7 linked regions of the Ovis aries genome follow. The protein of the gene in region 1 purifies or fractionates together with the protein of each later gene. This does not show direct contact. Links are inferred from orthologs where the notes say so. Each region holds a gene or a part of one and is shown in the gene's direction. Other genes may lie near its edges.

Region 1 (4,256 bases):
GCACATGTTATGTACCAAGCACTGTTTTTAGAGTTCCCAGGAACGTCCCTTAATTCTCATAATCCATAACAAACTGTTCTCTCTATTTTGCGTATGGAGAAATTAAGGTCCCACAGCTTGTTAAGCAGAGGAGCCAAGTTTACTCTCAGCTTCGGAGTCCTCATTGTAAACTGCTCTATAGCTACCTCCTCTGCTGTGTGAAGGTAGGTACTTAACCATATAATTTCTTTAGTTTTGGTTATGGAGGTGCAAGATAAATATTTGCTGAAACACTGAATAATTTCTCTGATCTGACAGTAAAATTTGGAATCTGGGAGACAGATTAAAAACTACACGTTTCATTTTTCAATTTAACAAAACTTGCCCTTGGATATGCAATCTAATGGCACCCCACTCCAGTACTCTTGCCTGGAAAATCCCATGGACGGAGGAGCCTGGTACGCTGCAGTCCACGGGGTCGCATAGAGTCGGACACGACTGAAGCGACTTAGCAGCAGCAGCAGCAATCCCGATACAGGTTGCGGCAGCTCTGTCTAGCTGAAGGTCACAAGGGAGAGGGGCGGGGCTCAGGAGACACCAAAACCAGTTTCTAAACAGTTTAGTTAGCACACATTACTTTTTCTCTTAACCTCTACTATTAGATGATACAATAGTGTTCCAGGCAGTTACAGAATCACACGTGAATTAGACGTTAAGCGTTCCAATATAACCAAAATGAAGGTAATTATTGGCTTAAAGCTAAAAGCAGATTAACCCAGAAGTGAAATGAGGTGATAAAGCAAGGGCCAAAGGAAATATTACATCCCTTACACTTACCCTGGACCGAGGAAGGCTGCGTTCTTCAGAGACGGGGCTACAAAAATACGAAGCGTAGGTTAGCAAGGTCACGGTGAAATCTGGTTTGCCCCTTCCTCGGCCCCACAGAGCTCAATCACTAAGGCCATGTGTCCTCCATTCCTACCCCCAGGACCCCACACTCACCTTCTGAGCGGCGCTCCTCACTCTTCACTCAGACCCAAGTCTCACTGCGCTTTTCTTCACGCCCTTTCCTCCCACCCGCTCCAAGCAACCACAGACGCCTTGTTTTACAATCACCCTGCTATCCAGGACCAGGGTGTGTACTTCTCACCTGCTGCGGCGGCGGCAGAAAGTACCACCCGGGACAGCATTGTCAGGTAGCGTTCGCACAGCAATCTTCCCGCCCCAGTGACCCCGACAGAAGAAACTGTCAGGGACAGAAGCAAGATGGACGCTCACAAGTCTCGCGAGAAGAGAACTTCGTGCCCTCTCCGTCAACTTCCCGTCTTTTTACCCCTCGCGATAAGAAGCAGAGAGCCGGTTGCGGGAGGGTGCAGGCGGGAAAGCCGGCTGGGCTCTTAGAAGCAGCTCTCGCGAGATGTAGGGAGGCTGTAACTTGCCTAGAGGGGCGGAGGCCGGAGAGGAACCACGTGGGGACTCCTGGAGCTGAATCTCAGGCGGGCATCCAGTCTGGGTCTAGATTGAAGTTGGAACCGTGGAGATGCGGAAGGAAACACCGCCGACCCTAGTGCCCCCGGCAGCCCGGGAGTGGAACCTTCCCCCTAATGCTCCCGCTTGTATGGAGCGGCAATTGGAGGCTGCGCGGTACCGGTCTGGTGAGCCTGGGTCCTAGGCCGGGGAGTTTCCTTATCCCACCCCGGAGTGCCCCTTCCTGGGAATAAACCTTCCAGCCCGCACCTCGATTCCCCCGCTTGCCAGCCTGACCCCTGCTTCGCTTCGCTGAGCTCACCCCAGCCGTGCCCCGCGTTCCCGGGCTCGGGTCCAGATGCATCTAGCGGGCTGCTGGGCGGTTACCAGGGAAACGAGCCTCTCCACTCCTCATGCTGACATCTTGTATCTCCTTTAGATGGGGCGCTTCTGCTTGGGGCTTCCAGCCTGAGTGGCCGCTGCTGGGCTGGCTCTCTCTGGCTTTTCAAGGACCCTTGTGCCGCTCCGAACGAAGGTTTCTGCTCTGCTGGAGTCCAGACGGAGGCCGGAGTGGCTGACCTCACTTGGGTAGGGGACCGAGGTATCCTAGTGGCTTCTGATTCAGGTGGGTCACTTGCTCCTCAGCTGTACAGGTGGAATGGAGGTCGGGCTGGGCTCAATTTTTAATGTCCCATACTCGGTGAAGGGATTCCAGGTGAGATGCTTCAAATCCTAAAAGATGATGTAGTTAAAGTGCTGCACTCAATATGCCAGCAAATTTGGAAAACTCAGCAGTGGCCACAGGACTGGAAAAGGTCAATTTTCATTCCAATCCCAAAGAAGGGCAATGTCAAAGAATGTTCAGATTCACACGATTGCACTCAATTCACATGCTGGCGAGGTAATGCTCAAAATCCTCCAAGCTAGGCTTCAACAGTATGTGAACTGAGAACTTCCAGACGTTCAAGCTGAATTTAGAAAAGACAGAGGAACCAGAGATCAAATTGTCAACATCCACTGGATCATAGAAAAAGCTAGAGAATTTCAGAAAAACATCTACTACTTCATTGACTTATGCTAATGCCTTTGACTATGTGGATCACAGTAAACTGTGGAAAATTCTTAAAGAGATGGGAATACCAGACCATTTTACCTGATAAACCTGTATACAGATCAAGAAGTGACGGTTAGAACTGGGTGTGGAAAATTAGAACTGGACAGGTTCCAAATTGGGAAAGGAGTATGTCAAGGCTGTTTATTGTTACTCTGCTTATTTAACTTATATGCAGAGTACATCATGGGAAATAACAGGCTGGATGAAGCACAAGCTGGAATCAGGAGAGAGATCAATAACCTCAGATATGCAGATGACACCCTTATGGCAGAAAGTGAAGAGTAACTAAAGAGCCTCTTGATGAAGGTGAAAGAGGAGAGTAAAAAAGCTAGCTTAAAACTCAACATTCAGCAAACGAAGATCATAGCATCTGGTCCCGTCACTTCATGGCAAATAGATGGGGAAACAATGAAAACAGTGGCAGACTTTATTTTCTTGGGCTCCAAAATCACTGTGGATGGTGCCTGCAGCCATGAAATTAAAAGACGCTTGCTCCTTGAATGAAAAGCTACAATAAACCTAGACAGCGTATTAAAAGCAGAGATATCACTTTGCCCACAAAGGTCCAATATAGACAAAACAACTTTTTTTTCTAGTCATGTATGGATGTGAGGGTTGGACCATAAAGCAGGCTGAGTGCCAAAGAGTTAATGCTTTGGAACTGCAGTGCTGGAGAAGACTTTTGAGAGATCAAACCAGTCAATCCAAAAGGAAATCAACCCTGAATATTCTTTGGAAGGGCTAATGCTGAAGCTGAAGCTCCAGTACACTGGCCAACTGATGCAAAGAACCAACTCATTGGACAAGACCCAGATGCTGGGAAAAACTGAAGGCAGGAGGAAAAGGGGACGACAGAAGATTTGATGGTTGGATGGCATCACTGACTCATCAATGGACATGAGTTTGAGCAAACTCAAGGAGTTAGTGAAGGAGAGGGAAGCCTGGTGTGCTGTAGCCCATGGGGTCACAGGGAATTCGATGTGACTTAGAGACTGAACAATAGCAACAACATACTCCTTGCTTGGGGGAGCTTGAAGGTTTTGGTCCCAAAGGAGAATAACTGTGTGGGTAGGATATACCCGTCCCAAGATTCCAAATTGGTGGAAATTTCTAGCAAAATTCATAACAAAATTAAGACATGAATGAAACTGTTTTTCTCTGTATCCACCCAACATCAAGGATGATATTGATCTTAAAGATGATGCTGAAACCAGTCTATGCTCTTTCCATTTCTTCCCAGTTTCTTACATGTCTTCATTCTGCTTTCTTTGTTTTGAATGTCAGACTTAGTGGAAAAACCAGTGGAGGGTTTCATGTTTAAAAAAAAAAAAGAATAGAGGTGTTGGCAGGCATTGCATGGAAGGATAAAGCTGGGACAATTAATGTCCAAATAACTGGGACTATTTAATAATACTAAACTGTGTGCTGTTCATATCATTGTGGAGGTGTCATCCTTGTCTCTCAAGAACTTAGCATCCTAGAAGTGAAGTGCTGTCTTGGTGTAACCCCAGCTTGTTTCCTTCACCGTCTTCCCCACCCTCAACAGGTGCTGTTGAATTGTGGGAGCTGGATGAGAATGAGACGCTTATTGTCAGCAAGTTCTGCAAGTATGAGCACGATGACATCGTGTCTACAGTCAGTGTCCTGAGCTCTGGCACACATGCTGTCAGTGGTAGCAAAGACTTCTGGTGGGTCC
Region 2 (4,293 bases), on another chromosome or scaffold:
CAGCCCAAGTTCTAGAAAAACCTGTTTATAGAGAAGAGTAAAATGGGATTAGAGCTACAATTGCATAAAAAGTTTTTAAACTCTTATGCACTATTAGGTAGATGCAGGTCAATTGACTATTCTAACAGGTTTTGACTTCCAACAAACTGGAAAATTCTGAAAGAGATGGGAATACCAGACCACCTGACCTGCCTCTTGAGAAACCTATGTGCAGGTCAGGAAGCAACAGTTGAGAACTGGACATGGAACAACAGACTGGTTCCAAATAGGAAAAGGAGTACGTCAAGGCTGTATATTGTCACCCTGCTTATTTAACTTATATGCAGAGTACATCATGAGAAACACTGGGCTGGAAGAAGCACAAGCTGGAATCAAGATTGCGGGGAGAAATACCAATGACCTCAGATATGCAGATGACACCACCCTTATGGCAGAAAGTGAAGAGGAACTAAAAAGCCTCCTGATGAAAGTGAAAGAGAAGAGTGAAAAAGTTGGCTTAAAGCTCAACATTCAGAAAACGAAGATCATGGCATCTGGTCCCATCACTTCATGGGAAATAGATGGGGAAACAGTGTCAGACTTTATGTTTTGGGGCTCCAAAATCACTGCAGATAGTGATTGCACCCATGAAATTAAAAGACGCTTACTCCTTGGAAGGAAAGTTATGGCCAACCTAGATAGCATATTCAAAAGCAGAGACATTACTTTGCCAACAAAAGTCCATCTAGTCAAGGCTATGGTTTTCCAGTGGTCATGTATGGATGTGAGAGTTGGACTGTGAAGCAGGCTGAGAGCCGAAGAATTGATGCTTTTGAACTGTGGTGTTGGAGAAGGCTCTTGAGAGTCCCTTGGACTGCAAGGAGATCCAACCAGTCCATCCTAAAGGAGATCAGTCCTGGGTGTTCTTTGGAAGGACTGATGCTGAAGCTGAAACTCCAATACTTTGGCCACCTCATGGGAAGAGTTGACTCATTGGAAAAGACTCTGATGCTGGGAGGGATTGGGGGCAGGAGGAGAAGGGGACAACAGAGGATGAGATGGCTGGATGGCATCACCGACTCGATGGAGTTGAGTTTGAGTGAACTCTGGGAGTTGGTGATGGACAGGGAGGCCTGGCGTGCTGCTTTTCATGGGGTTGCAAAGAGTTGGACACGACTGAGCGACTGAACTGAACTGAACGGGTTTTGAAGGAAAGCATGTCAATTGTGATTGGGTAGGGGTAACACTCAGGCGTTCCAGACCCAGCTAGTCCTCTAGCCCTGGGACCTGCATCGCCAGTGGCTACAAAAATTAAGATTCAGGACGGTTGGGTGGACTAGGCTTTCGGAGGCGGGCACTCCCCGCCCCTTACTCCGCCCCGTCCGTTGCCCCGCCCCTGGCTCCCTCTTGACCCCCCGCGCCCCGCCCCCCGGCCGAGAGCACCCCAGGCTGATTGGCCCTCAACGGCGTATCCTCGGGCCGGCAGCCAGGCCGGCGCGTCACGTGGCCGAGCGGCGACCTGGGCGCCGAGCCGCGGGCAGACAGGCATGGACCCTCCGACCGCCGGGGCCCAGGCGCTGGGGGCCGCGGAGCAGCCGCGGGGTCTGCAGCTGCCGAGCGGGCGGGAGGCGCCCCCGATTCCGGGGGTGAGCGCGGCGCGGGGCCTGGGCGCGTCCACCACCTGCGGTCGGCGGCGGGAAGTTGCGGGGGCTCGCGGGGCGTGGGCCATGGAACCGGGGAAGCGCTCCCGGCCCTCCTCGGGCAGCCCGGCCGTTTGGGCGCGCGCCCGAGCTGGAAACAGCCGGGCCGCGGGACTGTGGGGCGGGGCAACCTCGAGGACGTGGGTGGGCGCGCCGGGCTGGGAGAGCTGGCTGTTGGCTCCAGGGCGCCTTTGCGTCCTTGCTAAATGGGAGGTGATGCTGCTGACCGAGAGCTGGGGCTGCTGCTCGGGGGCCTGGGCTGGGGCGAGGTGAGGGCTGCGAGGAGAGCTACTTTCCCTGAAGGATCCGTGTCCCATGGTGGGGATGCTCAGCTAAGCCGGAGCACCGGATGATGGCTCCTGCGCGCTCTCCTTTCACTGAAACCAAAAGGCCGCGTTTGACGCAGGGTTTCTAGAAACTTGTTTTCTTTTGCGCGCCAGACAGCTCCCGGTTTCTGAAAGACTGCTATTACAGTCATGTCCTGCCCTTGTTCAATAATCCCTTTTAGACGGTGAGCTCCTTGAGGGTAGGAACGCTCTATTTAGTGCTGAAAACCCGGTGCGTAGCGTAGTGCCTGGCACTTCACACACGCATATTTATTAACTGGATGGAAGAGGAATGCTTATCTAAGCATCAGAGACATCCTAACCAAAATAAGATAGGAAAAATGTAGTGGTAGGCTTATAAAGAATATTACTTTACCGGGCAGGTAGGATGAGACTGATTTTGGCAGGCCACAGCAGGAAGGTTCCTGCACTTCCTCTCCAAGATGAGAGGATAGTGGTCGTGGCAGAGGCGTGGAGATGAGGATGTGCAGGGCAGATGGTTGGGAGCTTGGAGAGAGAACTGTGCTGCACAAGTTGATGGAGCCTGAAGGGACAATGTGGATGCCATGGCGAATTTTGTACTCTAGCAGTGGAGGCCTGTTGAGGTTTCTGGGCAGAGTGGTGATTTCCAGTGTGAGGCTGTGGCCAGATGGATGAGTGTGGGACCCTGGTGGTCCAGTGGCTAAGACTCTGTGTTCCCAATGCAGGGGACCCTGGTGGGGGCTCTCATATGCTGTAACTAATACCTGGTGCAGCCAAATTAAAAAAAAGAAAACGTGGGTGAGTGGGAAGGCAGTTAAGGAGCTCTTGCAATAGAAGAGGTGAGAAGTCCCACTATTGGTCAGCAGGGGTGACCGGGAATTGTCACCGACTACTGGAGATGGAATTAGCTCATTAAATCCAGGTAGGACTAGGTTGTGAGCTAACGAGCAGGTGCCAAGTACAGTTTAAATATAGGGGCAAAGAAGGTGGGTTTCAGCTCAATAAATGTTATATTCCTGCTGTGTGCTAGGTGTCTTCATCAGTGTTATCTCATTATAAACCTCCTGCTGGGTTAGAACAGTTGTCCCCAATTTCCAGAGACAGAAACCCAGGCATGGTGGCTGAAGTGATGTGTCCCAGGTATACTCTGAGTGAATGGGATTGAAGTCACGCCTTCTCATGCAGGCTGTGAACATTTCTCGCCTCACTTAGAAAGACATCTTCACAGGTGATAGGATTTCAGGAACGAACTCTTTTTTTGTTTTTGGCCGTACTGCCCAGATATGGGATCTTAGTTCCCCGACCAGGGATTGAACCCATGCCCCCTGCATTGGAAGCTTGGAGTCTTAGCCACTGGATTGCCAGGGAAGTCACAGGATTTCAGAACTTTTGCGCGGTGGGAGCAGAGAAACCTAGCGATGGCTATGAAGGAAGACGATTTCCTGTCAACCGCTGATTTCCCTTGAACAGCTAAAGCTCTTTAGTCCTCCTGTGTCAGTCAGGAGATGAAATCTGATAAAAGAGCTATTAGCTAGATAAAAAGTTAAGGTAAAAATGAACATGGAGGTATCCACTGCAGGGAAACAGCAACCGGCCCCAGGGCTGAGGGAACAAAGGGGTGAGATTGGAATGACTAAAATGTGCAAGCTCAGAGGAGAATTTCAGGGAGCTGAAATTCCAGCCTCTGAGGACGGGGTGCTGTCCTGGCTAGTTTGGAGTCTCTGAGCTTGGAGGAGGAGACCAGACCTCTCAAGACAGGGCCTGGTGAGGGACTTCCTTGGTGGCCCAGTGGCTAAGACTCCACGCTTCAATGCAGGCAGCCTGGGTTTGATCCCTGGTCAGGGAACTAGATCCCACATGCCAAAATTAAAGATCTCAAGTGCTGCAGCTTAAGAGGTGGTGCAGCCAAATACATATTGAAAAAAAAAAAAAAAAGATAGGGCCCAGCGAGGAGACTGGCTCTGTATGTGCTGGCAGCCTGTACACTGGATTCAGTAGGCACTCTGTGAAGGCAGGTGATCCTGCCGGCAGGGGTGATGCCCACAGGAATGGGAAGCAGCAAGTCCCAATGTAACAGGGCACAGTAGAAATGTGGGTTGCAGGGTCCCACCCCAGCCTCGCAAAGGAGGGTCTGAAAGGGTGGATATGGGGCTGAAATACTGGCCATTCCCGAGATATCCAAGTCCTGGGTCCTTGTTTCTTCTTCCTGCAGGCTGACCACTCCAATCAGGAGAGAGCGCCTGAGAACGCCACAGATCGGCTAGGCAAGTAGGCGACAGAGGCGGGGGTGGCTCTTGGGAGAGACC
Region 3 (3,566 bases), on another chromosome or scaffold:
CCCCAGCCCCAGCAGCCCCGGCCCTCCGTGCTGCCCCGCAGCCCCGCCCCTCTGTCCCTGCTGCCCTGAGGGTCTCCCGCCCCCACCCCTCACCGTGGCTCTGAGTGGATCGAGTTTGCTCGCAGGCACGGAGAAGGTGCGCCAGGCCCAGGAATGCGGGCAGCTGCACGTGGTCAACCCGGACTGGCTGTGGAGCTGCCTGGAGCGCTGGGACAGGGTGGAGGAGCAGCTGTTCCCACTGCGTGACGACCAGGGCAGGGCGCAGAGGTGAGTTCTGGGCGCCCAGTCCCTGACAAACACATGTGGGCGGCGGGCCTGCTCAGCCCTCGCAGCCGGCGGCTTCCCGTCTGCGGAGACGCCCATCAGTCTCTCCCCTGTGCCCGCCGAGCGGGTTGTCACCGAGAGCCCCTCTCCCTGGTACCACCTGGAGAAGGAGCAGAATTGCTGCTTCTAAGACATGAGACGGCATTCCGCCGTGATTCCTGGTTTCCAGGTGTTTCGAGGCTGGGAATGCTTCTGTGAAGTCCCGGGGTCTCTGCAGAGTCCAGCGTGGAGGGAGGTGGTGGCTGGGGAGGGTGGGTGCAGAGGTGCGTGGGCCACAGTGTGGGGAGAGCGGGCTGGCGGGCGCCCCCTGCATGAGATCAGGCGCTGGGTTTACAGGCAGGGCTGCAGACAGCCTGAGAGACAGTGCGGGAGTGCTGCCTTGGATCCAAGGCCGCGGCAGAGCCTTAGGCCTGACCAGGAACCGTGTGCCCCCTGCAGAGTCACGTCCCAGCGGGAGGGGTTGCCGGGGTCCCGTGGGTTCCAGCCCCTCTCACAGCCCTCCTTCTCTTCCGTAGGGAGGATGGCCCTGCGTCCTTCCCTGACAGGCAGAGCCTGCTCCCCGCCGCCCTGTTCCACCCAACACCCGTGCACCCCAAGGCCCCGCCTGGTCCTGAAGTCCGGATCTACGATGCCAGCACGGGCAAGCTCATCCGCACAGCCACCTCGGGCCCTGGGCCACCTGGCGCCCTGCCCCACGCGGGGCTCTCCTCCTTCAGGTACTCCACCCGCTCGCGGGGAGGTATCCCTGAGCCACGGCCGGCCTCGAGGAGCAGGCTGCGTGTGGGGCAGGCCTTGTGCACGGTCTCCCATCTGGTGCGGGGCTGGGCCTGAGGAGGTGTGGTTCTGCCTGGACGGGCACGTGGCCCTCCTCTGCCCAGGGTCAGCGAGGGAGCAGGAGGCAGCCCTGGCTCTCCTGCCTTGCCCTGCCGGCTGCATCTCTGGGACACAGGGCGGGCCTGTCAGGAGCAGCTCCCGCCCTGCGCAGGCACATGGGCCCTGGAGACTAGGCTGTGTATCTGTCCTGCTGCTGGGCTCCAGCTGTGGACAGACAGTATACTCGCTGGTTGAGGCCAGTTTCAGTTAGGTGTTGGTTGGTGGTTTTGTTATTTGAAACTAAGAGCGTGGTCACTGATAGAGCTTTGATTTTTTTTTTCATGACGATGTGACACTTAATCGTTTCGATAGACGCGTCGTGAGCCTGTGTGGTGCTTTTGTTCCTGTGGAGTTGCTTTCTGGCTGGGTTAAAGGTCGTGGACATCTCTGACTCTGATAAATGGGGCAGTTGTTGTTGTTTCGCCCAAGGCTCGCTGAGCCCTGTGGTCCTGCCCGGCAGCCTCCAGCCCTGGCCCATCTCGGACACACGACTGTGCTGGGACACGTCTCTGGCCGCTGCAGCCCTGTAGACCCGCCTCCACCTCACTGGCCGTCGCCTCGCATCCTGAGTCGATGCTTCTTCCTGGCTGGCTTCTGGGAGCTCTGCCCTGGTCCTCCTGGGTGGCGGTCGCTGTGAGAGGGCTGCGTCACTGCCTGGGTCAGGAGACGCTGGCCCCGTGCTGCCGGCCGAGCGGTGCTGGCTCCTTGGGCATGTGGACACTGGGTGGCCTGCTGGGGTTTTCTTTGAGGTGATTGTCGCGTTCTCTGTTAGGTCCTCCCTGACGGAGAGCAGGTGTTCGGGTGGTGGGTTGAGGGCCCTGGAGCTGCGCTGGCCTCAGTGTGTGTCTGTGGAGGGCGCGCCATCTGGACAGAAGCGGCCCAGTGTTTCTAGAGTAGCTGGTGTAGCTTATCCTAAACAGCGTTTGGGTTTTGGGGTGCAGCTCTGTGTTCTGTCATCCCAGAAGCTTCACGGGGCTCTCGTTCTGTGGCGCTGGTCTTGCCGCTCCTCGCGCGTGTGTGGCGTGTCTCGCTTGTCGCAGCGTGGCGCGTGCGCGCTGTGTACTCAGCTCCTCGCGCGCGTGGCGTGTCTTTGTGTGGCGTGTCTCGCTTGTCGCAGCGTGGCGCGTGCTCGCTGTGTACTTATTGCCCCACTGAGCTGCTCTCCAGAGTGTTGCAGTGAGCTCCGTCGCTGAGGTTCCTCCTTGTGAGGGTGAGCCTGACGGGGTGCAGGGCTCGCCTCCGAGCGTCCAGCCCAGGCCACCCCCTGGGCCATCCACCCTTTCCGGTCTTGTTTCCTGGACATGGCGCCTTGCCCACACGTGTGCGGAGGGCAGGGTGGGCTGCACTCCCGGGGGCAGCATGCCGGCGTGTTCTGATCCGGAACCCCAGGGCAGACCCGGTTGTGACCGGACACCACAGCTGTTGGGCGGTTGCTTCCGTCTGATACTTGTTTGGGAGTCGTAAGTCTCGGGAGCTCCTGCTTTGATGTTCTGGTTCTGGGCTAAGGTGCCAGCCCGCGAGGGGCCTGGAGTCAGAGGTCCTTGGGGAACATGGGTGGAGCGCCTCTCACCAGGATCTCCGTGTGTAGGTCGCTGCTGGGACTGTGGAGGGGAGAGCAGCTGCCGTTCAGAGCCGCTGGGCTGGGGCCCAGGTCCAGGCTGCCTGCGTGGCAGGCGCAGCTCCACGGCGTCGCTGGGCCAGGGCCGTGTCTGGAGAGCAGGGTGCGAGGTCGGGGCCACGGCAGCATGCCTCACACGTGTCTCCCAGTGGGTCAGCCGCTGAAACAGCTTCTTCTATGCCCCTTCGTAGCTGAATGCTGCAAGTTGTGAATGTCTTGTCTTTTTTTAGTATAGGTTTTCTTTGGAGATGATTGTGGGGGAACAGGCAGTTAACAGAAATGGCAGAGAGCCCAGGGACCCTTTAACCATCTCCCCCCAGTGCCCACATCTCCAGACCTGCTGCCCGCATCGAGCTGAGACGCCCATCCCGACGGTCCAGACCTGGAGTGGCCACCCCCTCTGGGCCCCCTGCCATCCCCAGCTGCCCTGCCCACTCCCGCTGGCCCCCTTCCCCCAACCACCTCCCACGGCCCCCCTGGTCTGTGCCCGTCCCTGTCCTGTCGTCCGAGAGCACGGGCTGGTGGGCTGGCAGCTCCGCCCGGCTCGGCTCCCTGGAGACTCTGCCCCAGCGTCGCTGTGTCGACTGCTCAGAGGGCGTCGTGGTGTGAGGTGCGGCAGTTTCTGTGACTGTCCACTCGCTGCGGACACCGGGGGCATGTCCAGCTCTGGACTCTGAGAGACAGGGCCGCTGTAAACGTGTGCGTGTCTCTGCTTCTCCCAGGTTGGCCATGGGGGCTGCTATGGGCTTGC
Region 4 (3,306 bases), on another chromosome or scaffold:
GAAGGAGGGGCCTCGTACCCTGCGGGGGCGACGCCAGGCACAGGGAGCCTGAGTGGATGGATGCTGCCCGGCTGCCTACACGTTCCTCCCCACGGCTCTGACACGTACCCCCTGTTGCAGGACGGGGACAAATTCTGGCGGATGCCCGAGTGCTACATCCGCGGCAGCACCATCAAGTACCTGCGCATCCCTGACGAGATCATCGACATGGTCAAGGAGGAGGTGGTGGCCAAGGGCCGTGGCCGCGGTGGCCTGCAGCAGCAGAAGCAGCAGAAGGGCCGCGGGATGGGGGGCGCCGGGCGAGGTAGGCCCTTCTCTCCGCCCTCTCCCCTGGCAGGCAGCCGGGGCCTCCCCGCTGGAGCGTGACTGCCGCGCGCGGCATCTGGCCTGGCCCAGTGCTGGCATTCTCCGCTGGTGGCGTCATGTTGCCGAGGGCCTGGCTCTGCGCCCCTCCTCCATGGCACTGGGGGGCTGTGACTCACGGGGCTCTTCTGTGGAACAGTTGGTGCTGCTGGTTGCCACCTGCATGCCCCGTGTCCCCCACCCCAGGAGCCCAGCTAAGCCCTAGTGGTCAGTGCTGGCCGCGCCCATCCTCACAACATGGGCCCTCCTCCCCGCAGTGGCTCTTGGTGCTCCCTCAGCTCCAGATGCCGCCCAGCAGACTAACCCAGCACCCACACAGACCTGGGACTTGAGCCCCACCTGTGTTTCCTGGCAGGTGCTCTGGGCACCTCGGGGAGGCTCAGATTCCCCCCTGCGGAGAAGATCCCCGTGGTGCCCAGCCTGGGACCCTTCCCTGCTGTGACTCCTTTAGACAAAACCAAGGTCACGCCTTTTGGGTAGATCACCCCGCACCACCCTGAAATCATAAATCTTGCATAAAACTAAACGTGCAGTCAGCTAGAGCCGCAGCCCAGAGGCCAGCTGTGGGCCCCACCCTCCCCCACCCGACTTCTGTCTCACCCACCTGGAGGGGCTTGTATGCCAGGTTCCAGGAACCCACCCTGGAGGCTTATATGCAGAGCCAGGAAAGACATAGGAGCCCCCCTGAGCTGAGGCTTGAGTGACAGAAAGGAGCCAGAGAGAAGAGGGCACCGCAGGTGGAGAAGAACCTAGGATGGGGGTGAGCAGGGCCCCAGAGGTCCCAGGACCTGCCCCCAGGGCTAGGCTGCCCACCCAGGGTGCCATCGCTGTCGAGTAAACTGCCTGAAGGAGCAGGGAGGACAGGGAGAGGCGCTTGCATAGGGGCCCCTGCATGACCAGGCTCCCCTTGCCCAAGCTGGGTCTTGCTCCATTAGAGATGAGGCTGGGCAGACCCTGTCAGCCCTGGCCCTGTCCCCTGTATGCGTGTGGAGGAAGGGGGCCCTGGAAGGCCAGGCTGCTGCTTCTGTGACTTCCTGGGCAGGGGCTGCACCCACCCTTGGGCTATTCACCTTCCCCAGCAGCAGTGCTGTGTGCTCCACGTAAAATGCCTTTCGGAAACAGCCCCACCTCTGGCTGCAGAGGTCAGAGCTCAGGAGGCTCCCCCGCCCCTTCTCTGGGCTGGACACACAGAGACCCCACCCCACCCCATTGTTTCAGCAAGGCAGGGTGGGGTCCCCCGGTGCAGCCCCAGTCACAGAGCTGAGCATCGTTGCTCCACCCCTGGGCTGAGTCCAGGCCTCATCCTAGCTTGTACTCCCAGCTCCTCCTGGAAACCCTTCTGATTTTGTCCTGCTGATGACTACCCACCCCCTCACCTTGGCCCTCAGCCCTCTCTTCCAGGAAGCATATCCCCCCCCCCGCCGCCGCCCCCGCAAGCCCCAGTGTGACTTGATGCCAACCTCTGTCCTTCTTGGCATCCTTCGCACCCCTGGGGCGCCTGGTCTGATATCCCTTGTCACACTGAGAATGTTGTGGAGCAATACCCCTGCCCAGCCCTGGTCAGACACTCCATCTCAGATTTTCAACCTGCTCTTCCCACCGACGGTACAGTCACTGCCCCCACTTTACAGAGGTGAAAGCTGAGGCTCAGAGGGGTTCAACGACTTGGCTATAGTCTAAGGGTTCCAGTTCCTGGTCCTTGCCCACAGTGACCCTCCCAGCCTGGCTCTACTGAACCCCCCCTCCTGTCTCACAGGTGTGTTCGGTGGCCGGGGCCGAGGTGGGATCCCTGGGACTGGCAGAGGTCAACCAGAAAAGAAGCCAGGCAGACAGGCGGGCAAACAGTGAGCCGCCCCTCCATTCCCGAGACTGAGCTGCCGCGCCGAGCACCTGCTCCCACCCTGAGGCTGCATTCCTGGTCTCCAGTTTATGACTGTTCAGAACAAAAAGAAGAGGCAGGGGTCGGGGAGGACCCCCTGCCTGTCCTCTGGTGGTCCTCCTCTTTTTTTGTTAGCCAGCAGTTCTATGGTTGGAAATGTTAATTCTGTGCTTCTGGTTTTGTGAAGCCGCAGCCAACTGGATTCCTGGAAGATTCTGTGTTTAATGCATCGTTAAAGCCCTCACTCTTGTTTTAAGGGCAGGCATTTTCCAAACAGGTTTGTTTTGCATTCTGTGTGGTAAACAGACGGGAGGTTTTTATTTTCAGCTGTTTGCACTGAGATTGATAGCCTGGAGGGTCTCCTGAAACACGGACCCTGAAACTGCCTTTTCGAAATGGATCCAGGCAAACGTATGCCTCAGAAGCTGTTCTGGGGGATGATGCTGGGCCCTATTCCGTCCCTTCTTCTCTCCCTCTTTGTCTTAGAAAAATAAAAACAAATACAACTACAAACTGCGAAATCCATAATTCCTTTGAACCACTGGGTGAATCTAGTTGTAGTGTCCTCAGGAAATCACAGCCCCCACGCAAGAAGTTTCCTTTTGCCCCCTGTGGCCTCTCACCAAGGGGAAGCATTTCAATGGGACACTGGTTCCCATGACCCTCAGCAGCCTCTTACAAAAGGTGGAAGGCAAAATGGGGGTCTGGGCAGTAGGGGAGCCCCTTCCCCTCTGTGGGGCGGTGGGGGAGGGAAGTTGTGGGTGGGAGCCAGTGGGACACCCACACTGCCTGTCCTCAGCCTCCATCTCTGTTGTGCAAGCACTGTTCACAGCAGAGCTCCCTGAGAAGCCGTGACATGGAGCTGCCTCCAGGAACACATGAGGAAGGCTTTTCACGAACTGTTTACCTCCTCTTAGGGTCGGGGCACTTGCCTGTCCGCGACTCAGCGATTTGCCTGAGACGCTGAGCCAGCACTTGTGCGGAACACTTCCGGCGATGTGGTCCTTTGACCGATATTCCTGGACAGCCTGGTGTTAAGAGGCTGGTTCCTATGGATGTGAGGT
Region 5 (4,037 bases), on another chromosome or scaffold:
TATAGCATTTAGGCATTCAAAAAAGTCAAGGACTTCAAAAGAAAGATCTCTGCCTGAAATACCAAGTTATCACCAACAATGACACCAAACAAGTTCTCAGATTCAAACAGAATTCGAGTTTAAAAATATGAAAAAATCAAAAGAATAATATTAATAGCAACCAACAATGAGAAAGCAGGTCACTGACATCTAAAGAAAATTCCCATCAAGTATTGATAGAATCGTTCTAGAAGAGTCAATTGGAACTCTTTCTCAACAATAAAGTACACCAAAGCCTGTACAAAGGTCGCAATTTATTTTCTGTAGCTTTAAAACTTAAACCAATTCTTGAAAAAGTTATCATAAAACAGCATGACTTGAAAATTCTCCCTATGTTTTGCATAGTCAGCTAATTTAAAGGCTCTAAAATCAGTCTGGTTCACTCCATCCCCATGAAGTGTATGTCACTAAGTTCTTAGGCAATTGTCATCAGGCAATTGCAAAAAAAAACAACAAAAAACACAAAAACGTAATTCAGATGCAATGAAACAGAATGCCGAGTACTCTCAGGCGACCTCTCACATTCTAAAAGCAATGGTGTGAATTTATCAGCAGGTTGCTCAATCACAAGAAAGGCAAGATCCTAGCAGTGCTTACATTTTTCTAATCCAGGGCCAGAAAGACACCGACAAGGTTCGCCGGACATCTCACACCTCCACGACCCCAGTCCTCCCAATAGCCCCGAACGCATGGGCCCCGCAGGGCCTGGGGTCCCCCTCACCGTCACTGCACTTATACTGGCAGAGCCCGTCCTCGCCTCCCAGCAGGTCCAGGGCGGCGTTCAGGTACATGTCAATCTTGTGAACGCCGTTCCGGATGGTCTTCAGGGTGGCCCTCCAGTCGGTGGTCTGGGCTTGCTCCTGGCACCTCCCAGCGGCGGTCAAGAAGAGGACCAGGAGGACGGCGAGCAGGGCCATCCGCGCAGCGCCAGGCCGCGCCCGGCCCACCCCACGGAGACGTCGGCGCGCCCCAGGCAGCGGCGCGGGTCCGGGGCTAGGCAGGGGCGGGCTCCATGCCCACGCCCCGCGCCCGGCTGGGAGGCGGGGCTCGCCGCGCGCAATGAGCTCTCCGGCCCGGAGACCGTGCCGCGGCGGAGACGCCGGGCGAGGCGCACGCGCGGACCCGGGCCGGCCGCTGCGCTGTGCGCCTGCGCGGAGCGTGGTGCGTCGGGGGCGCGGGGCAGGTGGGAAGGCGAGTGACCCCGGCTGCCTCCCAGCTGGCGAGGTTCTCCCGAGTGGCCAGGTAGGCGGTACCACCTGGTGCTCGTTAGTACTACCTTAGAGGTTGGTTGTACTAACTAAATACCATGCCGGGCCCCATATCCCAGACAGGCTGATTAAGTTCATCCCGGAGTCAGTGGGCATTGTTATATTTTGAAAGCTCTTCGGGTAATTGAAGGGTGTAGCGAGGTGGTGAACCCCCGTGACCTCCTCTGACTTGGGGGTGTGCGGCCCAGCCATCACGAGCCGAGCGACAAGCTATTCAGGGTGTAGACAGCGTCGGAGAAACAAGCCCCAGTAGGCCCTTGCAGAGAGCGTTGCGAGGGAACCAGCTGAATCTGGGGTTTGAAACCGTGATTCTGCGTGATACATGGGATGAGAGTTCAGATTGGCAGTCTCCGGGTCTTGGGTCCTCACCGGTCTTCTTGGACTGCGGTGGCCGCGGTTCGGGGGTGGGGACTGGAACATGTTAACCCAGGCCCTGGGGTGCCTGGCTGACAATGTAGATGCTGGTTGAGAAATTTTAGAAGAAAATGGTTTGACAATAAAAACCACGAGTTTTCTTCCGTAATAGGGAAGAAGCCATGCTATAAACTTGAAAGCATTAAAAACAAAAACCCACAATTTTCCTACTGAAGATATGGTGTAGCTTCATGGCTCCAGTGACGTTTCCCTGTATTTTTAATCCCAGCGCAGTGCAGCATCCTGAAATAACAATTGCAGTAGTTTTTAGCAGAGCTATAAATACCTAGTTATTTTAGTATCCTGGCAATTTCCAAGAATTTTACAATAAGATCCAGGGTAATACTGCAAGTGTTGAGAATGGATGTGACCTTTATAAGAATTACACCAATAATTCTAGCTTGGCGTTTTGTGTTTGTTAAGCTTCATGAGTTTATAATAAATGTGCAATGCAGAGTTCATAAGAATTGTATGTGTCTATATTTAGAGCTTACTCTGTGCCAGGCACTTTACAGACTCGCTCTCTTACACTCAACACTTTTCAGGAATACAGCCTTTGGACAAATTAGAACCAGAAAAGGGCGTCCCTCCCCGGCTGATCTGTGAGCCTACCCCAAGGCTAGGTTACTGGGAGCAGCCAGGCTTAAGTCTGCCTTCAGATGCTCAGTCAGCCAGGAACCTCAGGGCTGTGATCAACTCAAACCACAGTGGAGGAAGAGGAGAAACGTGCTTGAGGGGTATTAACCTTTTTTACAGTAGGGGAGTTCAAGTGCCTACAGAGAAGTCATGTGATAGGATCCAGTCAAATCAAGGCCTCTTTCACACCAGTTGCGGAATGAGAGCAGAGTCCTAACCACCGGACCGCCAGCAAATACCCAAGACCTCTTTCTGCCGTACAAGATGTCAAAGATTTTTTTTTTAATTAATTTTTGGACAGCACATTTCAAGAGCTGGGAAAAGGAAACACAGAGTTCTTTTTTGGTCTGCTTTCTGAAGCTTTGGGTTTCTCATCTCTAAAGTGTGGGTGTTGTCCTACAGTACCTCTGAGGTCCCACCTGGCTCCCTTGACCAGGCTTGGTTCTTTCAGAGAAACTTGGTGGTATAGGAATAAGTCTTCAAAAAGAAAAGACAAAATATAACAATATTACCTGGTTCCAGCCCTGTTATAGATGCCCCAAGTCTCTCCTTTATACCTTTTCTGTATATGTATTCCTGGTAATCTTACCTAATTTCTTATACTCTAAATGCAACCTCAGGTTTCCCAGGGTGCTCAGCGGTAAAGAATTCACCTAGGAATGCAGGAGACATGGGTTCATTCCCTGGGTTGGGAAGATCCCTTGGAGAAGGAAATGGCAAGGTATTCTTGCCTGGGAAATCCCATGGACAGAGAAACCTGGTGGGCTACAGTCCATGAGGTTGCAAAAGACACGACTTGGCAACTAAACAACAACAAATACAGTCCCAGCTCTGCGAATTCAGATTTTGTCCTCTTTGTCTCAGCTTTCCTTAGGGGTTAAATCCTGAAACTCCATTTCCTCTGGCTGATAGAGATCTCTTTTTTTCTCTAACAAATCTTTTATAGTATGTTCTTCATGGAAATCGCTGCCATCTTCTCAGAAAATAAGATTTTAAGTTTTATTTTCACTTTCTCTTCATAGTCAGTCATTAGATACTTGTTCTGCTGTAGTGATTCCAAGATTTGCTTTTTCCTCTCAATTCCTGCTGTCAGATACCACGGTACAGCATTGATCACCCGATCAGCCACATAATCAGGGCTGATCATACAGGGCTCAGCACAAAGTGAAAATCCAGGTCTCCTTGTTCAAAAATTATTAAGAATTTCAGGGTGTTAATGGGAGATATAGTCTGAAACCCTTCTGAGTCCAGGGTCTTGTGCAAATGCACAGGATGCTTGCTCATGAAGCCAGGCCTGATTGATAATATCATATAACTCCTAGATGACCCACCTCCATCTTTTCTTCTAACTAGTTAGCTTCAGTTCAGTTCAGTCGCTCAGTTGTGTCCGACTCATTGTGACCCCCTAGTTAGCTTAGAATGTTTGAAAAGAGCCTCCTTTACAGGACACTTTCATCTAATCAGGAAAGCCTGTATTTATTGTGACATATACTATTGGTTGCAAACCCATGGCTTCCAGATCTTTCCTGCTAGCAAATGGCTAGTTTTATCTATATACACTTTGCTTGTGGATTGGGCAGGAGCTGAAGCCAGGAAGCCAGTTAAGACATAATAAACTAGGTAAGATATTATTTTGGCTTGGCCCAAAGAGGAAGAAGTGGAAGTATGAAAATGGTCACA
Region 6 (4,331 bases), on another chromosome or scaffold:
AGGAACTCAGGCGCTGGGGAAGGCGGGACTAGAGAAGGAAGACTCCGTAGCAAGACAACAGGCAGGAGTCTGGGAGGCCAGGGGCAGGCTGTCCCTCCCTGCCCTGCCAGTTGCCTGCCCCGTCTAAGGCCTCAGTTACCGGAGAGGGGACAGGCTCTCCCCAAAGCAGCTCCAAAGAGGACTTTTCGCTCCAGGGAAAGGTGACCCCTCCCCCCGCCCCGGCCGCTCAACCAGGACCCTCCTTCCCTCCATGACCGCAAGCGAGAGATGCCCAGGGGTGTCCCTGCTCAGGGAGTTATCAGGAAAAACAAACAAACCCCAACTGACCGTAGCCGGCCCGGCGGGACCCGCCGGAGCGCACACCTGCCCAGGTTTTGCTCAGAGCTCAACAGCCGGGGCCGCGGCGGCGGTCGGCCCAAGGTCGCGCGGCCGGACCCTGCCCGGCGCTCGGGCGGGGTTCCCCCCCAAACTCGATTCCCAGGCTGAGGGCTGCCCCCCAACCCTGATCCCGGATCCCCGATCCCCAGGGCCCTGCCCCGCGCCCACCGCGATCCCCGGGGTCAGGGCCGCCCCCCGATCCCCGGGGCCCTGCCCCGCGCCCACCGCGATCCCCGGGGTCAGGGCCGCCCCCCGATCCCCAGGGCCCTGCCCCGCGCCCACCGCGATCCCCGGGGTCAGGGCCGCCCCCCGATCCCCGGGGCCCTGCCCGGCGCCCACCGCGATCCCCGGGGTCAGGGCCGCCCCCCGATCCCCGGGGCCCTGCCCCGCGCCCACCGCGATCCCCGGGGTGACGGGGGGACCACACTGACCGGGCTCGAGCGGCGGCCCCGCTGCCTGCGCGTCCACCTCCGTCCTCATGACCCGGGCGGCGCGGGGCTCCCATGGCCCCGGCCCGGCGCGGGCTGCAGCTCTGGCGTCGACTGGGGACGGGAGCGCGCGGCCGGCGCGCGCCGGCTCCCCGGGCGGCCAGCACCAGCGCCCCGGGGGGAGCGGGGGCGGGAGGCGGCGGCGGCCCCAGGCCCCGCCCCGGCCCGCCCCGGCCCGCCCCGGCTCCCACGCCGGCGGCCCCCCGGCCCGCTGCTCCGGGTCCCCGCTCTCCCTGTCCGCACGCCGGGGGCACTCGCCTCGCTCGGGGCACCCCTTCCCCGGCGCCGTCGGCTTCCCAGGCTTCCCCTGCGGGGGCAGGTCCCGGCCCCGGGCCCCCGCCGCCGCCGCCGCCCGCCTCGCTGTCCAGCCCGCGTCTGGCGTCGGGCGCTGGGGACCGCGAGTCCCCCTCGGCCCGGGCCGGCCCGAGGGTCGCTGTTTCCGGCGGCACCTGGGTCCGGTCATCAGCCCCGCTCTTCCCCGGGCCCGGAACTATTGTACCCGAGCTCGGGTTCCCCAGCCGGCGCGGTAAGGATGAACGCGAAGGCGAGAGACGTCGCCCGCCGCCACTCGGGTAAAGGAAGGGGGCGGGCCCTGCGCGAGGCATTTTGGGAACGCGTGGTATTCTGGGAGCGCGCGGCCCGCCATTCGCGCCCTCACGCCTTCGCAGTCGCCGGAGTTCCGTCTGCCCTGCCGCCTCTGAAAGAGGAGCCCGGAGCCGGTGAGGACGGGGCCGGGGGTGCGGGGAGGGCGAGGGCTAGGCCGAGGTCCCGCGGGGGGCCGGGGGGCTGGAGGAGGACGCGCCGCCGAGGAGCCCTGCGGTGCTCGTGGAGGGAGAGCCGCGGGGAGCTGGGCCACCCCGACCCCCAGCGGCGCCTCCCAAGCGCCTGGAGGTGCGTTCGTTAGCTTTTTCCCCGAAGTACTTGCTCTTCGGTTTCCGAACCTCTCCAGGCCGGTGTTTCTCGAAGTATCCAGGCAGTGGTCTTGAGATCGTTCCTGGCTGGTGGCCACCTTCCCCCCAGATCCCTACTTGGCTGATTTCTTTTCAAAGCCCTTGGCATCTCTGCCTCCCTCCCCCTTCCAGGACCTGATCCCCTAACGCTGGAAACACAGGTTATCACATTTCCTTGCTTCTGTCTAAATCGTGTTGCAGCGTCTTGTAACTCCGGCTGCCCTTCCGTGGGGTAGTCTCTGTGCTGCCCCGGTTCCCCCAGCTGCGGTTCAGCGTTGTCCTCAGCAATGGAACCTGTTTTTTCCTAACCTCTCCCGGTCCTTTTCCTCTCTTTCGACCTCCTGCTGCGTGTCAACCGAAAAAATACCGCCACCTAAAAGCTGAGAATTAGGTTTATTCGGTGGGAATCATGAGGACTCCGAGCCCGGAAGACAGGATTTCAGGCGACCCCTGGGAGAGAGAAATGTTGGGTGGGGTGGAGTCAGGCTACAAAGAAGTTTGCAGCAAGGGGCAGGTAATCTGAATATTAAAAGATGACTGTTGAGTAATGGAGACCAGATCTCCGGCCTGAAGAGATTTAATACTTTTCTGTTCTTTGGGAAGATGCAAGAGTCCGGGCTTCCTGAAATCTTTTCTTTCACATGCATCTCAGCTATCTGGGGCCAATTCCTGCTTTTCGGCTGTTCACAGCCTAATTCCTCCTTTACCCTAAAGTTAAGGTACGAGGGACCGCCTCTTGTGCTTCTGACATCCCCCAGCTCCTCAGCACTTACAGGAAGTAACGGACAGCTGCCAAAAAGCCAGTATGGTTTTTACCTGGGCTTAAAAATTTGCATTTGGAAGGCTGGAATACCAGATGGCTGCGACGTGCCTTGATTACTGGAGAGCAGAAAGCATTTCATTTTACAGAAGTTTTCGTTTTATACACCCGTCTTGGGATTGAAAAAATCCACTTGCTTTTTTTCTCTCTTAATTAGATCAAGTCGGGGTTCTCCCTGGTTATATTTTCCCTCCAGGGTGAGCGTTTCCCACTTGTAGCACGCCGCCACCTTGTGAACACTTGGATATTTTCTCTTTAGCTTAATGGTGAAGTAAGTAGACGGTCAGAGTGCTTAATGGGTTGAATTAAACGCACAGCCCCGTCTGAGCTTCCCAGATGGCGCTAGTGGTTAAAAAGACCTCTTGCCAGTGCAGGAGATGTAAGAGACGTGGGCTCCATCCCTGGGTGGGGAAGATCCCCTGGAAAAGGGCGTGGCAGCCCACTCCAGTATTGTTGCCTGGAGAATCCCACGGACAGAGGAACCTGGTGGGCTACAGTCCATGGGGTCGCAGAGAGTCAGAAAAGCGACTTAACATGCGCACTCAAGAGCCCTGTGGTGGAAGGAAGATGGGAGGCAGCTCTTTCCCGTCAGCTTTCCCCCTGTTGAGGCCCTGTTCCTCCCCACTCACACCCTGCACGTGTTTGCCAGATGGGTCCTTCAAGCTCAGAATTCAGCTAAAAAAAAAACTAGTGCACCTCTGGCAACTTTGCTGAGTTTTCCAGAGTGTCAGCCTTGAGGGGTTGTGGTGTTTGCACATGCGTTCTTGGGCGTCGGAAGATGAGCTAACTGCTGTCTCTCTCTCACCGCAGAACTCTCTTCCTGCCGGGATGTCTATCGGAGTGCCGATCAAAGTCCTCCACGAGGCCGAGGGCCACATCGTGACGTGTGAGACGAACACTGGCGAGGTGTATCGGGGCAAGCTCATCGAGGCGGAGGACAACATGAACTGCCAGGTGCCCTGCTCTGTGCGGGGCCGGGGCGGGCCGGAGCCTCGGAGGGCAGGGCGCGGGCGGCTGGGGCTCCTTGAGGTTCTTGCTCAGCGGTGGTTCACCGAGTGCCTAAGCTGTGCCAGGCCCTATTAGAGGTGCCAGAGAGGCGGGCATCAGTGAGAGCCTCTTGGAGGTTGAGAATATGAAACCTAGAATCTGACTGTTTAGATTGCTCGTCCTTCGCTGCTCCCAGTCCCGTGGTTGTCTTCTCACGGACTTTGGGCCCATTTAAGAGAAGCAGCACAGCCTTCCGGAGGAGGCAGTGGCACCCCACTCCAGCGCTCTTGCCTGGAAAATCCTGTGGACGGGGAGCCTGGCGGGCTGCGGTCTGTGGGGTCGCACAGAGTCGGACACGACTGAAGCGACTCAGCAGCAGCAGCGCAGCCTTCAGCGGAGCCGTCAGGCTCAGCGCCCCCGCCCCGCACAGCGCGTTTGCACAGTGCTTTGCAGCTAGCAGAGTCTTCGCTCGCATACTCTGGGTATTTGCCATTTTCCTAGCAGAAGCACCTCGTGTGACTGCACTCGGAGCAAATACTTGGCCAAGCAAGCAGGTTTGGGTGATAGTTTTATCCATGAAATGGGAAGAATGAGATTACGGGACTCACCTGCTGAATATCGCTCTGCCAAGACGTGTTGGACCCACTGCTTGGTGCGCTTCCCTTCCCACGGCGCGTGAATTCGCATGGCATCGCTTTACAGTGTGGG
Region 7 (3,797 bases), on another chromosome or scaffold:
CCAGTGGTATCCCTGATGAGCATCCACTAAGCAGTTTAGATTCTGGTTTGAGCTGCCATCTATTCCTCCTGTGTTTCCATTCCAAGAGTAGAGGGCAGCCTATTTGCTGAATCATCATCACACAGAGAGTCCACCTAGGCCCTGAGCTCGCGAGGGTAGCCCCTTCCTCTCGGGTTTCTCTTGCATTTTCCCACAGACCTCAGGAACCACCTAGATAACAGGGCAAACTAGTAAGAAGTCTCTGGAGATCCTCCGCTAAGCACCTGTTGCCAAATGGGAGAGGGGTCCAACTTCTAGGGCTTCAGGGACCTAAAGCATCAGTCTGGGTCCCCAGCCCCTTTTCAGCCAAGAGGAGGTGGTACAAACATTTGCCCTCCTGGGAGCTCCTAGTACTTCTGAGTCGTTGGGGGTGGGCCTGGTGCCCTCCTCATCAGAGCCTCCTGGGTCCTGCTGCGACCAGCCTGCTGCTCTGGATTTGCCTTTGGTGCTTTGTGCAAGGTTGTAGCTTCTGCTGGGCTGGGGGCTCTGGGACTGGCAGGGTTTGGTATGCTTTGACACCTGAGTGCCACCCCCCACTTCCTCCTGCTGACCGCCACTGTTGCCCCTCCAGGTGCAGCATGTGGTGTCTCAGAACTGCGACGGGCTCCACCTGCGAAGCGGGCTGCCCCGCTCAGCCATGTCGGAGCTCCACGGGAACATGTACATTGAAGTGAGCGATCCCTCAGGGACTCGGGCCTGGGCAGGCCAGCGGCTCCCACTCACGGGCCCTACTTTTCCTCAGGTCTGCACGGCCTGCACTCCCAATAGGGAGTATGTGCGGGTGTTTGATGTGACGGAGCGCACTGCCCTACACCGGCACCAGACCGGCCGCACTTGCCACAAGTGTGGAGGCCAACTCAGGGACACCATCGTGCACTTTGGGGAGAGGGGGACGCTGGGGCAGCCTCTGAATTGGGAGGCAGCCACCCAGGCTGCCAGCAAAGCAGACACCATCCTGTGTTTAGGCTCCAGCTTAAAGGTATGCAGATAGCACCATGGATGGGAATGGGGTGAACCTGCCTGCATCTGGTCAGCTCAACCTTAGACCCCATCTTCCTGTAGCCTCCTTATCTGGGTTGTGTGTCGTCTGTCCGTCTGTCCATTCCTGCAGGTTCTAAAGAAGTATCCACACCTCTGGTGTATGACCAAGCCCCCCAGCCGGCGGCCCAAGCTCTACATTGTGAACTTGCAGGTAACTCAGGTGCTCAGAGCCGCCTCCTCAGACCTGGGCCTTAGAACAGGAGAGCCAGCCATCCCTAGGACATCTGTGTCCCACAGTCATCCACTGTGGAGGTCTGGCTGAGCAGAGCCCAAGGCCAGCAGGCTGTTGGGAAGGAGTGAGGTGCTGTCCTCACTTACCTTCTCCTGTCCCCAGTGGACCCCGAAGGATGACTGGGCTGCCCTGAAGCTGCACGGCAAGTGTGATGACGTCATGCAGCTCCTCATGGATGAACTGGGCCTGGAGATCCCCCGTTACAGCAGGTGAGGGGTACAGGCGCGTCCCCCACTTCCCTGCCCCGTGTGGATGGGCCGTGTCTGTCGTCCTCTGTGAGCTGAGTGTAGAGAAAGCTCTGAGGTGTGGCAGCTGGCATCTAAGGCGTGACTGTGGCATGGTGGCCTCTGCAGGGCCCAGCCCCAGCATTGGCTGAGATGTCCTGGCTGGTGTGATTCCTGCGGGGAGAGGGAATCTGCCAGGGTATGCCTGGATGTCCCCCCTTCCCCTCAGGCAGCCTGGACGGGAAGGTGCCTTGAAGGGATGTGCTCTCAGCAACTCTGCTCTTCAGGATCTGGGTGCACTTGGCTTGGGGAACTGGAATACTTTGGGGAAGCTTAAACAAATTGTGGCTTGATACAGAATTTGTGATAATTTAGACGTGGTGTGTGTATTGAGTAAAAAGTTTACACTTTCTTTCTCTGTGAATTTCCAGGGTCTTATAGGGGAAATCAATAACTTCTTTTAATCAAAGGGTTCAAGAATTAAGGATCCCTTCACCTTCTGGGCCTGGCAATTCTTGTATGTTATGTTTGTGGTGTTCTGTAATGTGGGCCTATTGTGTACTGTACTTTTTTTTTTCACATTAACTTAGCTCATTTTCTTTATCAGTGCTTATCTGTATCTTAAGTTTATAATATGTGGTTCTACATCTCAGACACATGATCTCGTCACGGTGTAGTGTTTAGGCCACGCCTCCCTAGTCAGCTTTCCTCCTGTCAAGTCTGGGAAGGGGAAGAGGGTCTGGTCTGCCTGTCCCTGGCCTTATGAGTGAAAGGTGGGGCCCAGGGTTGGCTAGTGACTCATCCTTCCTGGGGTTAGTGCCTCCCCAACCCCTGTGTGCACAGCCCCCTCAATCACCAACGAGGAGTGAGTTCTGCAGAGGACAGGCTAGTCTGGGTCCTGGCCTTTGAGTTATTGGGGGAACTTACCTCTCTCACAGATGTTCTGGAGCTACCACTGAACACAGCCCAGCCATGGTTAAGACACGGGAGGGATGCAGGGTGACCTCAGTCAGCTTTCCCGTCCTGGGGCGGGTTGTGATTGCGAGGGGCTCCATGGCACACCTGACCCAGCTTTCCCTTTCCGTAGGTGGCAGGACCCCATCTTCTCCCTGGCGACTCCCCTGCGTGCTGGTGAAGAAGGCAGCCATAGTCGCAAGTCACTGTGCAGAAGCCGAGAGGAACCTGGGCCTGGGGACCGGGGTGCACCACTTAGCTCAGCCCCCATCCTGGGTGGCTGGTTTGGCAGAGGCTGCACCAAACGCACAAAAAGGAAGAAAGTAACGTAACCTGGTGCTTGACCAAGGACAATGATGGCACTTTGAAAATGGCCGGGACTCTTATTCAGGGGCAGGTGGCACCATTAATGCCAGGACTGCCCCCTGAGAATTATCTGGGGGTGACATTTTCACCCTGACATGTTTAGCCATTTGTCCTCGTGGGAAGCCCCCTTGCACTGCTGTGGTTGTCCCCTGCATGAGCCTTGCTCAAGCGGCCTCTTCCTAAAGAGGTGGCAGTCACACCCTCTGTGATAACAGAACTCCGGTTATTTCACATCTGGCCAGCTAAGAGGAAGCACAAGGCTGCCTTACCTCATTCACCAGGCCAGTCTCAGGGGCATCAACCCAATTTCTACTACTTCTTACTGAAAATGTTAAGTTTATAGAAGCCTTTTTCTGTATTGAGTATGCTGCAAAGGGGTGATTTTTGAGCCTTGGCTCTCAGCAGGCCTTTTTATTGTTATTAAACATCTCTGCACTGTCTTCCCCGTGTCATCGACTACCTTCCTGAAGCGGTGGGTGGGAGCAGGCGCCTGCCGAGACTCCTGAAGGGGCGGGTGCGCCCCACGTGGTCCTGCCCCGCCCCTCTGCCAGGTGGGCGCTAAGGGATGCTGGACACAGGTCATTGGCCGGGAGCGGAGGGGCGGAACCCGGCTCGAGTGGGGTTGCCCATTGGCCGCATGTGTGGTGAGAGGGCGGGGCTTCGCGCCGGGGGTGGGGCGGCGTTCGCCATTGGCCGCGCGAGGCGGGTGAGGCCCGCGTGACGGCGCGTGCGTGCGCGGGCTGCGGCGGCTCGGAGTCGGGAGCCGGCTGCACAGTGTCTCGCCGCTGCCCCCGGGCCATGATCCGGAACGGGCACGGGGAGGCGGGCAACGCCAAGCGGCCGGGCCCGAGGGCTAGGCGCGCCGTGCGAGTGTGGTGCGACGGCTGGTGAGCGCGGCGGGGGACGCGGGGCGGGGGCGGGGGTGCGGCGGCGACCGCTGT

What was found.
Region 2: the proteins of WDR77 (region 1) and COPRS purify together in Homo sapiens (affinity purification with mass spectrometry; 3 studies listed by BioGRID and IntAct, with this or other methods). This does not show direct contact. The link is inferred for Ovis aries from reciprocal best matches to the Homo sapiens genes WDR77 and COPRS.
Region 3: the proteins of WDR77 (region 1) and CTDP1 fractionate together in Homo sapiens (co-fractionation; 3 studies listed by BioGRID and IntAct, with this or other methods). This does not show direct contact. The link is inferred for Ovis aries from reciprocal best matches to the Homo sapiens genes WDR77 and CTDP1.
Region 4: the proteins of WDR77 (region 1) and LSM4 purify together in Homo sapiens (affinity purification with mass spectrometry; 3 studies listed by BioGRID and IntAct, with this or other methods). This does not show direct contact. The link is inferred for Ovis aries from reciprocal best matches to the Homo sapiens genes WDR77 and LSM4.
Region 5: the proteins of WDR77 (region 1) and GAR1 purify together in Homo sapiens (affinity purification with mass spectrometry; 3 studies listed by BioGRID and IntAct, with this or other methods). This does not show direct contact. The link is inferred for Ovis aries from reciprocal best matches to the Homo sapiens genes WDR77 and GAR1.
Region 6: the proteins of WDR77 (region 1) and SNRPD3 purify together in Homo sapiens (affinity purification with mass spectrometry; 3 studies listed by BioGRID and IntAct, with this or other methods). This does not show direct contact. The link is inferred for Ovis aries from reciprocal best matches to the Homo sapiens genes WDR77 and SNRPD3.
Region 7: the proteins of WDR77 (region 1) and SIRT7 purify together in Homo sapiens (affinity purification with mass spectrometry; 3 studies listed by BioGRID, with this or other methods). This does not show direct contact. The link is inferred for Ovis aries from reciprocal best matches to the Homo sapiens genes WDR77 and SIRT7.

The regions. Positions count from the first base shown.
Region 1 is NC_056054.1:88,869,565-88,873,820, reverse strand, and holds the start of WDR77 (methylosome protein WDR77), read left to right. Parts: upstream 1-1,438; 5' UTR 1,439-1,519; coding exon 1,520-1,634; intron 1,635-1,885; coding exon 1,886-2,071; intron 2,072-4,106; coding exon 4,107-4,248; intron 4,249-4,256. Other genes in the region: ATP5PB (ATP synthase F(0) complex subunit B1, mitochondrial), read right to left, coding at 817-853, 1,130-1,169. UniProt on the Homo sapiens protein: Non-catalytic component of the methylosome complex, composed of PRMT5, WDR77 and CLNS1A, which modifies specific arginines to dimethylarginines in several spliceosomal Sm proteins and histones.
Region 2 is NC_056064.1:18,000,696-18,004,988, forward strand, and holds the start of COPRS (coordinator of PRMT5 and differentiation stimulator), read left to right. Parts: upstream 1-1,488; 5' UTR 1,489-1,526; coding exon 1,527-1,625; intron 1,626-4,199; coding exon 4,200-4,251; intron 4,252-4,293. UniProt on the Homo sapiens protein: Histone-binding protein required for histone H4 methyltransferase activity of PRMT5.
Region 3 is NC_056076.1:861,540-865,105, reverse strand, and holds part of CTDP1 (RNA polymerase II subunit A C-terminal domain phosphatase), read left to right. Parts: intron 1-125; coding exon 126-267; intron 268-839; coding exon 840-1,040; intron 1,041-3,566. UniProt on the Homo sapiens protein: Processively dephosphorylates 'Ser-2' and 'Ser-5' of the heptad repeats YSPTSPS in the C-terminal domain of the largest RNA polymerase II subunit. This promotes the activity of RNA polymerase II.
Region 4 is NC_056058.1:4,695,280-4,698,585, forward strand, and holds the end of LSM4 (U6 snRNA-associated Sm-like protein LSm4), read left to right. Parts: intron 1-120; coding exon 121-304; intron 305-2,119; coding exon 2,120-2,211; 3' UTR 2,212-2,755; downstream 2,756-3,306. UniProt on the Homo sapiens protein: Plays a role in pre-mRNA splicing as component of the U4/U6-U5 tri-snRNP complex that is involved in spliceosome assembly, and as component of the precatalytic spliceosome (spliceosome B complex).
Region 5 is NC_056059.1:16,020,134-16,024,170, reverse strand, and holds the start of GAR1 (H/ACA ribonucleoprotein complex subunit 1), read left to right. Parts: upstream 1-1,192; 5' UTR 1,193-1,281; intron 1,282-4,037. Other genes in the region: PLA2G12A (group XIIA secretory phospholipase A2), read right to left, coding at 761-956. UniProt on the Homo sapiens protein: Required for ribosome biogenesis and telomere maintenance. Part of the H/ACA small nucleolar ribonucleoprotein (H/ACA snoRNP) complex, which catalyzes pseudouridylation of rRNA.
Region 6 is NC_056070.1:71,547,506-71,551,836, reverse strand, and holds the start of SNRPD3 (small nuclear ribonucleoprotein Sm D3), read left to right. Parts: upstream 1-1,469; 5' UTR 1,470-1,585; intron 1,586-3,446; 5' UTR 3,447-3,464; coding exon 3,465-3,590; intron 3,591-4,331. Other genes in the region: protein GUCD1, read right to left, coding at 1,125-1,329. UniProt on the Homo sapiens protein: Plays a role in pre-mRNA splicing as a core component of the spliceosomal U1, U2, U4 and U5 small nuclear ribonucleoproteins (snRNPs), the building blocks of the spliceosome.
Region 7 is NC_056064.1:50,478,290-50,482,086, forward strand, and holds the end of SIRT7 (NAD-dependent protein deacetylase sirtuin-7), read left to right. Parts: intron 1-610; coding exon 611-1,018; intron 1,019-1,101; exon of another isoform or gene 1,102-1,150; coding exon 1,151-1,231; intron 1,232-1,414; coding exon 1,415-1,521; intron 1,522-1,967; exon of another isoform or gene 1,968-2,053; intron 2,054-2,623; coding exon 2,624-2,822; 3' UTR 2,823-3,296; downstream 3,297-3,797. Other genes in the region: PCYT2 (ethanolamine-phosphate cytidylyltransferase), read left to right, coding at 3,655-3,743. UniProt on the Homo sapiens protein: NAD-dependent protein-lysine deacylase that can act both as a deacetylase or deacylase (desuccinylase, depropionylase, deglutarylase and dedecanoylase), depending on the context. Specifically mediates deacetylation of histone H3 at 'Lys-18' (H3K18Ac).